Schizosaccharomyces pombe: one gene and its partners. Changing the gene in region 1 together with any one later gene gives a genetic interaction. Each region holds a gene or a part of one and is shown on either strand. Other genes may lie near its edges.

Region 1 (3,638 bases):
CTCTTCTTTATTTAAATCGCTGCCCCTTTTCACTTACATATATAATGATGGTCGCGTTTTTTCTTTATTCTTATTTCTTTTTATCTCTTTTAAACATATGATCAAGACATAATTAGTAATTTTAGTGTTATTCTGCCCTCTTTTTTTTAACTTGGTATACGAACTCATAATGGGATGCACGTTAGGATGATGCTTGTTTCTTCAGTTGGTGCGCTTTAATGCTATGCCAGGAAAAAAAGGAAGCTCTTGGTCTTATTCTCTCTTTAAGGACTTTTTCCTCCAAAAAGCCTTGTACATACAAACATCTTTAGTTTGTTGTTTATTCGACAGTGGGTAGGGCAATCATTCTCTTTCTTTACATGCACCCATTAGGAATATATGCCATAGAACGCTGTAAATATACAAAGCAGTTACCATGGTTAAACGGCATTCATATTAATTCTATTACGATACTGATACATATCACTGTCGAAAAGCAAATTTCAGTAGAATTTGTTGATTAGTTTACTTAATGGTAATCTGCTCACGTAGCATGAAAAGAAATTTCAATTTATAAATTGTTGAAAACTTCATATTAAATCATTTCAATCGCATAGGTCATGTACAAATACTAAAAGAGGTTAAGTCGTCGAAGCTTTAATGTACAATAAAACGCGTAACTTCGTCTTTTATCCAAGAACCCTTGGTTTTTTATTCTTCTTTTTTAAGTTATTTTTCTTCGTTTTGTGAAGGAAATCCTGCCAATTTCCCACACGATTATCTCTTGTCTCTTCCCAAACCTTTTCTGATTCTACACGACGCTTTCGTTCTCTTGCAATTTCATCTTGACGCGCTTGTTCTCTTTGCTGGTTTGCTAAATCGAGCTGCCGTGCTCGTCTTCTTGCAACTTCATCTGCAATAAGGATTTCACGCCAACGTACTTTTAAATCAAATAAAAACTGGTCTGAATGGACGTCTTCCGAATTTGGAGACAATTTTTTTTCTTTCAATAGTTGGTTCCTTGCAGCTGTGTAAGCCGAATCAAGAGATTCCCGAATCTTATCATTAACTAGATCAGACTCCGCCTTTTTTAAAATGTCGAATGCGTCTGCAGCTTTTGGGTTATCGCGATTTTTGTCTGGATGAATCATTAATGATTTTTTCCTGTACAAATTTCGAATATCATCAACACTCATTCCTGGCAAAATATCAAGAACATCATATGCATTTAATTTAAAGGAAGACAATATTCTGTCAATCTCACGTCCCTAAGTAAAGGTTAGAATTCATCGACTTTGTTTGATTAGCAAGTAATATACGCATAGGCAAAGTTATTCTATTGTTTCATTGTAGTATATAATCTGTATAAACAAAAAAAAAAAAAATTCTGAGAATAAGATAAATCGAATCAACCTACTAAGGTACATCTAGAAATCTTCACATGCAATGTCAATAAAATGCTAAAACTTACTCTGTTTAAACTTCCTTCAACTCGATCTAAAAACTTTGCAACGTCTGCCATTTCTGACCGAGCCCCAAAATTGAAATTACAAGAGTGCAAATTTCAAAAATCCTTTATAGATAAATTTGGTGGTGAGTTAGGTTTTGCATTCGCCAACTTCTGGTATCGAGGGTAAGAATCTGTAAGTACGTTTAGAAACAGGTTCTTTACATTTGTTCTTTAAATGTAATAATGTATATGAATATACATATTCATTTACATATCGATGTGTCTAAGGTTTAAAAATTTACCGTCCGAGAGTGCTCTTACGAATCCCTAATTAAGTTTGAATATTAGTGCATATTAACTATTAATGGGTTTGCAATTTAAAATAAGATGAATGAACTAGATGCTACAGATCCATCTGATTGGAACCAAACGAAAATACCATCGTTGAAGGGCTTGGATTCTTCTTTACGATGTCTGATTTGTCATGAATACTTTCGCGCCCCCTTAATTACTTCTTGCTCACACACCTTTTGTTCGTTTTGTATACGCGATTATCTGAGAGAACATCCTATGTGCCCTGCTTGTCGTGCTCCTGAGCAAGAAAGCCGCTTAAGAAAAAACACTATATTAGAAGAGATTTTAGAGTCCTTTAAAGTGATCAGGCCAACATTGTTTGAATTCTTAAAAGTAGAAAATGTGCCAAAGCCAGTACTTCAAGCTCCTGAAACAGTTATCGCACAGGATTCAGCTTCTGGCGATGAGGAATGGGAAGACGACTTGGCTTCAAATTCATCTCCTGCTTCTATAGCTAAAAAGACATCTAGGGATTCTAAAAAGAGGAAACGTGAGGATTTAGTTCACTGCCCTGCATGTTCAAATTTAGTTCCTCATAATCAAATTAATCAACACTTGGATTCTTGTCTTAACTCACCTTCTTCCCCGTCTTCCTCTTCCTCACCTTATAAAAATAAGGATAATAGTAAATCTAATTCATTACTATCATTCAAAACAGATGATGATTCTATCACGAAGCGCAGGTTAAGGTCGTTTAACTCTGCAGATGAACTACCCTTGAAAGATCGAGTGCGGCTTCCCAAACTAACTTATGCACTCCTTTCCGAATCAAAAATTCGTTCCAAATTATCAGAGATGGGGCTTCCAACCGATGGACATAAACAACTATTACAACGTCGACATGCTAAATGGGTTACCCTTTACAATTCTAATTTAGACCAGAAACAACCTGTTTCAAAAAGAAATTTAATTCGCCAACTTATAGATTGGGAGCGCGTTCAGTCGAAATCAATTGGAGTAGAAAAAGAAAAACTAGGAGGGGGCGATTGGGAGAAGGCATACGCTGAGGATTTTGCTGATCTCATCAACCGTGCAAAACAATCAACAACTAACAAAAATGATTCATTGAGGAACACTGCTGTTGAATCTTCCACCGAACCTTCTACATCTAACGGTTTTCCTGCCACTTCAGTTAGTCCCCCTCTTACTATTGACCTTACCAATTCACAAACGGGATCCGATGGACCACAGTCCTAATCATTAATTTTCGTTGGATTCGTTTTAACGAATTTTCATTATCAGATTAACTTATTAGTTTATTTCGCTATATATAATCACATTAATAACCTGTAGAAATTTTGATATTTGGTAAATAAAATAATATACATTTTGAAAGTGGGGCATTTCTAGCTAGAAGGAATATTAGAAGCAGGTTGTTTGGAGACTTCGACTTCGTCAAGTGCTGCAACACACTCCTTCAAATCCTTCCAATCGATTTTTCCATAAAACAATTTTGCTTCCTCTACAAAAGGCTTGGCACGAAAGGGAATGCGACATCTCAACCAAGCATCGGCAGTTAATACACACCAAAGTGCGGCTTTACGAGTTCGCTTATTAGAGAACGGGTCCGTAGATTCAGTTTTTAAATAAGAAAGGGATTTAAAGAGAGTGTGAGTTTGTTGAAAGATCATTGCTCTTCCTACAGGACCCAATCTCTTAGAATAAAGCAAACCTGCATTCCAGTTAGCAGCATCGTCCACTTTTGGAGCTGGTAAACAACTAAGGAATTGTCCCAGGAGAAGGAAACAGCGCGCAGCATGATAATAGGAATTGAAGGATTTATTCAAATAATTTAACATAGCAGATTGCATATACTCGTTTATTCTCAATGTGTTCGTCAAACTCATATATGGCA
Region 2 (4,408 bases), on another chromosome or scaffold:
TCTCATGCATACCACCTCCATTCGTTAACAGAATAAAAGGTATATTATTTTTTTGCAAAAATTTCAAACTTACAAGTTAGTTTGAAAATGGTAGTTCATAGTTAAGCTTACGTCTTCGTTCCTTCTTTCAAACCTCTTCCTCCTCTAATTAAAACTCCATCAATACTGCTTTGGTTAGTTTCAAAAATCGATCATTAATTACTGTATTACTCAAATGCGAAACAAACATCTGCAATAGGGCTTTTAGTAGACGATTCGGTCGTAAACTTTCGAAACGTTGAACGCCCTAACTGCCTGGCAGCCAAATGCCAAGATCTATAATTGATAGTATGTAGCATTTATTAAAGCCGATAAATGAAGAATCAACAATGTAAGAAGTAAAAAATTAAGAGGTTTGTGCGGTTACGTGGTATGACAACTTAAGGATGACGGTGGGCGGGTATGAAAACCAGACCCGCATTTCCTAAGTTAAAATCCAGCTTTGTTTAGTGTATTGGACTTTTTATAATAAAGAATATTTGTATTCTCAATTAGTTGGAGAAAGTCTACAACACCTGGTTTATTTACATCTTATTTATTTCACGAGTTGTAGAAGCAAATTAACTAATAGATTTCGGCGTCCTACGAAGCTTAAATAAAATAAAGTAAAAATTAACAAAATTAAAAAAAGTTCTATGAAATCTACCGGCGTTTATTTGTGGGAGTTGCTCCCCAAGCGCTCTGAGTAGCAGCACGTTTTCTTCGTTCGATTTCCTCTTGAGAGATTTCTACCCCGTTTTGGACGTCAAACAAATCAGTCCGTTGACTAACCAATCTTTTCATATTTGCAGCAACGTTCACGTTCTCTAAATTTAAAGTTGATTTCCTAGATTCTTCAACTTTGCGCTGTTCCTGCCAGCGAGGGTCAAGTAATTTTAGACGCATATGCTCTTCTAGTTCTGTAGCGGGAACCAATTCACCTGAGAAAGGCGATATCTCCATCGGAACTTTGGGCTGGAAAGCTAAACAGGGTCAGTAAAGTTACAATAAGGAATATAAACTTACCCTTTGGTACTGGCTTTTGTACCTTCGGCTGAGTAGTGGTAGACAAAACGGGAGAAGCTTGTGCGGCAGGAGAAACTGAAGTAGTTGAAGAAATACCTCCTTTTTCTGGAGAAGCAAGTGATGGAGGAAGAGAAACACCAAATTCTTGTTTTTTAGGCGCACTTATGGGCTCCCAAGGCTCCGCTGTAGGAGGAGCTTCCTCAATAGTGTAATTTTGGTCAGGCATGGTAAACATGGCAGACTTTTGTTCTAAAGTAGCAGTTTGTAAATCCGCTAAATTCGTAGGTTTAGCTAATTTTGCATGTTCATCGGACTTTGTGAATTGAATCACTTCAACAACGACAAAATCGTTCCAATCAATTTGTGCATATTCCACTAAGACAAGTTAGTTCCAATTCAAATGGTAAATGAAGAATATTGGACTTCCTGAACCAGTTTTTGCATCTCAATATACACTTACACTTCTCTTTTTCGGCTTCTTCCTTTTGTTTTTTCTTTTGGCTCTCCATATGCGATTGCCACCTTACACGCGGCTGAATTTTAGAAAGTAAGCTATAAGGGTCTCTCACATTTTCACGAAGCTCCTGTTCTGGCGAAGAAATGGGCTCTCTAATTAGAGAAGTATATTGTTGAACTATACGCATAAAGTAAGGGTACAATGCATTATTTGGCTTTAAAAAATCAAATTGAGTGTTATTCCACTCTTTTTGAGAAAGACTCACTAAGAAAGAAGAACCACGAACTGCCGCATATCGCGCAGTTAAACGGAGCACGTCTCTAGATTCACGGTTAATTAGCAACTTCAAAGAAGAAGGAAATAATAGTTGAGATGATACTTACAAATCTAGTGATGAAATAGAAGGAAGTGGTTCTGAAAACAAGTACGGTGAGGGAGCAGGAATAGTTGCCTCTATAGGTTTTTGAATGGGACGAGCCAAAGTGGATGTTTTTTGGGTTGACAAGCCTGTGGCATGACTCTTCAATTTTCCCTCCCTCGCTTCAGTTAATTTGTGCTGATAATATGGGTGGTAGGGGTCATTAGCATGCAAGAAAGCAAACTTAGTATTTGCCTGTTCATTCTGGCGAATTTTTTCTTCAAAAGCTGGGCCATTTCTGGCAACGTAACTAGCAGATTTATCAATTATTTCTAAGCTACGTTAGCAGGCGCGTCTATTGTACTAATTACTATGACTCACCTCGAATTGCTGGAGGAGGTAAAATTACCCCTGCAGGGACCGATGAACTTTGATCAGTGATGCTTTTTTGGTGTTCTGTTTCATTATTTGTCGTATTTCTGTCTTGGAATTCCATTAAAGAACTCATATGTGAGACTTATGCAGAAAAAGGTAGTGGTGGAAGGACACTTGTCGCACAAGGCAGATGAAGCGATGGACAAGCGAAAAGAAAGGACTATTGAAATTCAATAGAAGTTTATAAAAGTTTAGGGCGACCTTGCTGCTCTAAACAGTTGTTGCCTAGGGCATCCGTAATCCACTGCGGATGGACAAATAACATCAAAACGGTTGATAGCAACAATTATCCTTACAATTTAGAATTTAAAAGATAGTTATAGTGCAAGTTTTTTTGCAAGCTACATTATACATTTATTTATCGGTAGAAGGTTTATCTGCATTCGTTGCTTTGCCTTTATTTCTACACACTAAGACGCGTAACATGTTTACCCTCTACCAGTACTTTATCGGAGAATAAGGAAAGGATATCCAGGTAGTTTCTCAAGATGCAGTTAAACCGGAAGCAGTTAAAGAATCTTCATAACTATAAATATAGTGCGATTGATAACTCACTTCTTTCAAAATATATTTTGAAGCCGTACTGGTGGAATCAACTTTTGAAGGTGATTCCCATGTCTATGGCGTATGATCTACACCCGTTTGCTTGCTTATTCTTACTAACTCTTTACTTAGACCTAATTTGATTACTTTGATCGGGCTTGGATTCGTTGTTATCAATATCCTTACTATGCTTGTGTACAAGTATCATTATGAGATGGATGCTTTCCCATCATGGGTGTATGCTTCTTGGGCGATTGGCCTTTTTCTTTACCAAAGTTTTGACGCTATTGATGGCTCGCAAGCGCGTCGTACTGGCACATCATCTCCATTAGGTCAATTATTTGACCATGGAGTAGACGCCATCAATACGAGCTTTGAAGTTTTACTGACGATTGAACTGCTGCAACTAGATATGTTTAGCTCAATCCTTACTCAATTTGCCAGCTTATTATACTTTTACATCTCTACTTGGGAAGAATACCATACGGGTACTTTGTACCTTTCATACTTCTCGGGTCCTGTCGAAGGAATTGTAATGGTTATTGGACTATTTGCCCTTACAGCTATTAAGGGTGATTCTTTCTGGCTCAAGCTACATCCCACTCCCGAGTCATGGGGATTTGTACGTTCCTTTCTGCCATACTACACATATGGATCATGCTTGTACAACTTTATGGCATTTGCCCTGCTATTGAATGTCTTACAAAGTTTACGAAATGCTCTTCAAGCCGTCCAAAAGAACAACGGAAGTGTGATTAAAGCATTGAGTGGTATCCTTCCCTATTTCCTCCAATGGATGGCTGTCTTTTCACTCTATGCCAAGTATCCTGCTTTCTTTGAACATCATTTCCTCACTATTTTTTGCTTGAACGCTTTTATCTTTGCTTATTCGGTTGGAGTGGTAATTGTTTCTCACATTACCGAATCTCCCTTCCCATACTGGAATGTGCTTATTCTTCCATTCTTGGTGGATGCCGTGGACGCCTATACTTTTGGCGTATTAAAAAACGTTCAGACGGAATACTTTTTTTGCTACGTTGGAATTTGCATTGGTGTTTACGGCAACTTTGTTGCACATGTCATTGCCATGATTACGGAAGAGTACGGCATTAAATGTTTGACTATTCCATCCAAACCAGAGTCCAAGAAGAATTGAACTAGATGATGATGGTTTGGACAGAATAGAGATGAGAACAAAAGGGTCCAGAGAGATTTTGTCATTGATAACCTTTCGGTCGATCTTTTGTTCTGCAATGTATCTAACGGATCAGAAGTATCAAAATGATCCATTTCCTAGTAGACAGGTTTTTTTCGGTTGTGTGTTTTCTGCCAACAATATGTTACTTTTGTTTGTTTTCCTGCTGTAGTAATAAAAGTTGGTTTTTTTACCAGAACATAATAATGAACAAGTATTTCACTTGCGACTTCGTTCACTAAATGATCCAGCCTTTCGTATCCTTTTAACTAACTGTATATACTGATGAACAAATGGTCCATTTGTCTTCTACACTGCAAACTTGCTTTTCACCGTGGAATACCGGGGCTGCACTAACTAAGATGACTGGTTCCAC
Region 3 (3,945 bases), on another chromosome or scaffold:
TACTTATTGATAGATTGGTTGGTTCATTTTTTTTCTTTCATCTTTTTCCAATCTATATGTATGTGTATATAAATATTTTTTATTTTATTATTTATTTTTTATTTATTTATTTTTTTCATTTCCCTCTATTTATTCACTCCGGATCACTTCCATCCTTATGTTATTTTAAAAAAAAATTTTTTTTTTCTTGTTCTATACTTCTGTTTATTTTCATGTCCTTTTCATTTCGTTCAATTAATTTCATTCCATTTCCTTTTCTAATATTTTTTTTCCTTTGCGATCGCTACCTTTTCCATACATATCTTGTTTTTTCCTCCATAGTATCCACCTTGTAAAACAAAATTCAATTAAATTGAAAAATTAATATTTTTAACAAATTTTTGAAAAGTTCGAAACTGCTGATTTACAATTTTCATCCATTCTTTGCTTTCCATTTTCTCCATTTCTCCTCTACTTGCGACACTTGGAAATCCATGTATAACCGAGTTTAAGGTTATTTAATAAGCGAATGTGTAGTTTTATTAATACAAAGATTGTTGCGCTCTTATAATCAACTATTTGCATAAAATTCATCTCTTTTATTTTTTAATTTATCATAATCTAAATAATGAAACCCCTCAACATGTCTGAGGACTCCTCCTGATTGCGAAAAAAACACCCATTCACCAATACACCAATTTAGAACCGGTTTTCTAATGTTTTTCTATTAATAATCAAATCATCCTCATAAAGTTCTTCCTTCAAGCTCACCATTTTTTATTTTTTCAAGTATTCATTCATTCCAAATTTTGCTTTTTCAATCCATCCAAACCTGTAAAGCCGAAACCGTTCCTGTCCAAAGATCCTTCTCTTTACTTTCATCCTCTTCTTCACTTTCATCCTTCTCATACTTGTAAATTCTATTTCCATAACATACACACTTTATCTGCATGTTTATAGGGTTCGCTTGTACTGTGTTTACCGTCAAATCGTAATTTCCCGTCACATGCGTTTCTTCCACAAGATCCTTGTTTCTCCATCTACGAATACTTCCATCCGTCCCACCTGCCAAAATTTCATCCTTTTTATCAGTGTCGAAAAGAATCCTTTGGTTCGTATCGCCACGATGCCCTTCAAGAGCATATACCATGTCGCGCACATACCGTATATCCCAAACTTCAATCTTATCACTGCATCTGCTTCCAACATATAACTTTTCTCCATCCTCACACCATTGTAGATGTGTCACTCCGTTTCCTCTTTCAATCGAAAACTCTAGCTGACAAGGGCGACGTCCGCAATCATTATAAATCCCAACTCGATTTGAATACGTTCCCACTGCCAATGTTTTCGAATCCATCGGATTCAAGGAAAAGCATGACTGTATACCCTTAAGACTAAATTCCCAAAGAGGGACTTTATATCCATGGGTTACCGTTGTCATGACAGGTTCTTTACATCCCGTTCTTATATTAAAATGATGGAGACAGTTTTTATCACCCGCAATCAAATACTCCCCATCGTTGGTAAACTGTAAACAATGCGATCCTTGATATCTCTCTTGGTGATCTATCATGTGATATGAAGCCTTGTTCTTTCCTGTAGTAAAATTGATCAACTTGATAGGTTGATCCCTACTAGACACTGCAAAAAGGTTACTGGAAGGATCGTCAAGTTTCATTCTCGAATACCAACTGTAACTGTAAACTGTTTCCGGTGATTGATATTTATACGACAGATGTTTTGAAAAGTTCAATGGTCCATCAGCCTTTTTGGATAAATCGGAAAACGGCACATTCCAACAGTTAAGACATTGATCCTCTGTTAACGAAAGTATAGTCGATCCATCCGGCGACCATCTTGACGAATGAAAAAAATTCAATGGCTTTGTTGGACTTTGAGCAATCACATTTGTTCCTAAATTAATACTTCCGCATACATAGCCGAAATTTTGACTTTTCTTCTTATGCACCAAGTCATCCTTCTGATCCTCAAAGGAGTTTACACAATTATCCATTCCTTCCTCAAGTTAACCTACTTTATTAACCATGTATGGATTATGGCTCTTCACAATGTCAACTTTAATTTTTTAAATATATAATATATATATGGATTTCTTTCTATCTGGTCATAAGGGTTGAAAACGAATAGTCCTTCTTTAAAAAACGAATTGTAATCATATGTAGTAGTTGTAATCTCAGTATGCTCGAATTACTCCAAGACATTTCCACGAGTCCTAAAACAGAAAGAATGTATTCTTTGTTTCTCAATCATAAAAAAAAAAGAAAATTAAAAGTTACGACTCAGGTTACTATATAAATAAAAATAGAGACAGGTTGCGATATACTTGTCTAACTAAAAAAACAATTGAGTACAATATCGTCAACATTTTTATTACTTTACGCCCATTGAAACTATAAATATATGAACGAAATTAAGCAAATAAGCCTTCATCGTTTTTTTGTATTGATAAATCAAAAAATATATTAATGAATTAACGAAAATAACCTATGCCAAAATCTTAATTTTTTTTTATCAATGAGTGCAGACGCGTACAAAAACTGCTCAACAGTTCATAAACTTTAGAGTGTGTCACTCTTTTTTTTCTTCAGCTATTTACTACAAAAGTTGGCTTACGCAGCGGCTTCCGAAATTGTAGCAGTTTCTGAAATGGTTGCAGAAATTGGTTTAGATGTTTGTGTCTTTTTCTTCCTGTGAAATCTTGTATCCTCTGGACTGAATCCACCGTTCCCAAACATGGCAAAATCGGGCGTGGATGCCATATAATCGAATGGACCAAAGTCTTTCTTTGTCCGTATTAATTCGAAAAACTTTGGATAATCAATGTGAGTATGCCAATGGCCATCTTTTTTGAACGCAGTTTGAGCAACTAAAATACTGCAGCTGTGTGCATGTTCTGCAGCAATTTCATAGCGGACGCCAAGGTCTTGTAAATGAATATCAATATACTCAATCAATTTTTTAACAAAGTCAATTACCTCTTCATAATAAGGCACATTCTTCATAGTCAACGGTGATTGATCCGAATTACCACTATAAGTAACCCCCTTAACTTCGATGAAACAAGGCACACCAAGACGAATCAGTTCAGTATACTCTTTAATTTGCTCCATGTTGAATCCCTTCACCAAGGTCATTCGGTAAACAGTACGCTGCCGCTTTTCACGTAAAATCTCCAAACACGTTAGCATTCGCTCCCAAAAATCCTTGAATAATGGTCGGTCTACTGATTTGAGACTCTGCTTAGTACTGGCATCAACAGAAACGTAGAGTTGAGTGACCATACCCATATTTCTTAATGCTTCAGGATGCTGGGCATTTGTTACTAAGAACGATGAAATCTCTCTTTCATGAAGCATGGACACAAATTCGTTTATGTATGGATAAAATATAGGCTCTCCAACCAAGGACAAAGCACAGTGACGAACACGAGACGCTTCTTCATATCTGTCGGGTAGAACACCAGGTACACCTTTCATTAATTTTAACTTGGCATAATGAGCCTTCAATATACCCTGAAGTATCATTTCTGGAGGATCAACCTTCCAGCGCCAAGAGGTTCCTACGGGATTCGTACCATGTCTCCAACAAAAAGTACATTTATTAGCACAGGCTAAACTTGGGGTAGCTTCCATACATAGATGACTTCGAATTCCATAGAAACTATACTTATAGCAAAAGCCTCGGCCACGCATAGCAGACTTTGTCCATCTGCAAATCTTTACACCACTATGTGAGCCAACTACGCTGTATCCCTGCTTTGTAAGGGCTTTATACGTAGGAGACTCTGTCGAAACCATCTCTTTAGTACCCACTGGCAAGGCTGCTTCTGCCTTTGCCTTGGCCATCATGGAACCCATATCCTCAACATCCATAACATCCGAACTAAGTGAATCCGTGTTTCCGATTTTCAAAAGCGTACCGTTTTTCAAGCATTCTGCTACA

Evidence for each region. Genes that interact genetically often act in the same process or in processes that back each other up.
Region 2: mutations in spf31 (region 1) and sap114 together harm fitness more than expected from each alone (negative genetic interaction), as found in Schizosaccharomyces pombe (one large-scale study listed by BioGRID).
Region 3: mutations in spf31 (region 1) and gnr1 together harm fitness more than expected from each alone (negative genetic interaction), as found in Schizosaccharomyces pombe (one large-scale study listed by BioGRID).

What each region holds. Positions count from the first base shown.
Region 1 is NC_003423.3:1,068,442-1,072,079, forward strand, and holds spf31 (DNAJ protein Spf31), read right to left. Parts: upstream 1,596-3,638; 5' UTR 1,502-1,595; coding exon 1,451-1,501; intron 1,328-1,450; exon of another isoform or gene 1,248-1,327; coding exon 669-1,247; 3' UTR 520-668; downstream 1-519. Other genes in the region: rhp18 (postreplication repair E3 ubiquitin-protein ligase), read left to right, coding at 1,817-2,980; TRAPP III complex subunit Trs8502, read right to left, coding at 3,130-3,638.
Region 2 is NC_003424.3:1,171,789-1,176,196, forward strand, and holds sap114 (U2 snRNP-associated protein Sap114), read right to left. Parts: upstream 2,661-4,408; 5' UTR 2,368-2,660; coding exon 2,241-2,367; intron 2,192-2,240; coding exon 1,885-2,191; intron 1,822-1,884; coding exon 1,505-1,821; intron 1,420-1,504; coding exon 1,045-1,419; intron 1,002-1,044; coding exon 682-1,001; 3' UTR 563-681; downstream 1-562. Other genes in the region: cardiolipin synthase/ hydrolase fusion protein Crd1, read right to left, coding at 1-68, 112-168, 211-338; ept1 (CDP-alcohol phosphatidyltransferase class-I family protein), read left to right, coding at 2,783-2,919, 2,970-3,993. UniProt on the Schizosaccharomyces pombe protein: Involved in pre-mRNA splicing. May be involved in endoplasmic reticulum-associated protein degradation (ERAD) and required for growth at low and high temperatures.
Region 3 is NC_003421.2:765,374-769,318, forward strand, and holds gnr1 (heterotrimeric G protein beta subunit Gnr1 ), read right to left. Parts: upstream 2,171-3,945; 5' UTR 1,997-2,170; coding exon 797-1,996; 3' UTR 563-796; downstream 1-562. Other genes in the region: wybutosine biosynthesis protein Tyw1, read right to left, coding at 2,613-3,945. UniProt on the Schizosaccharomyces pombe protein: Negatively regulates the pheromone-response pathway. Acts as a structural mimic of the G protein beta subunit thereby interacting with gpa1 which then inhibits gpa1 signaling.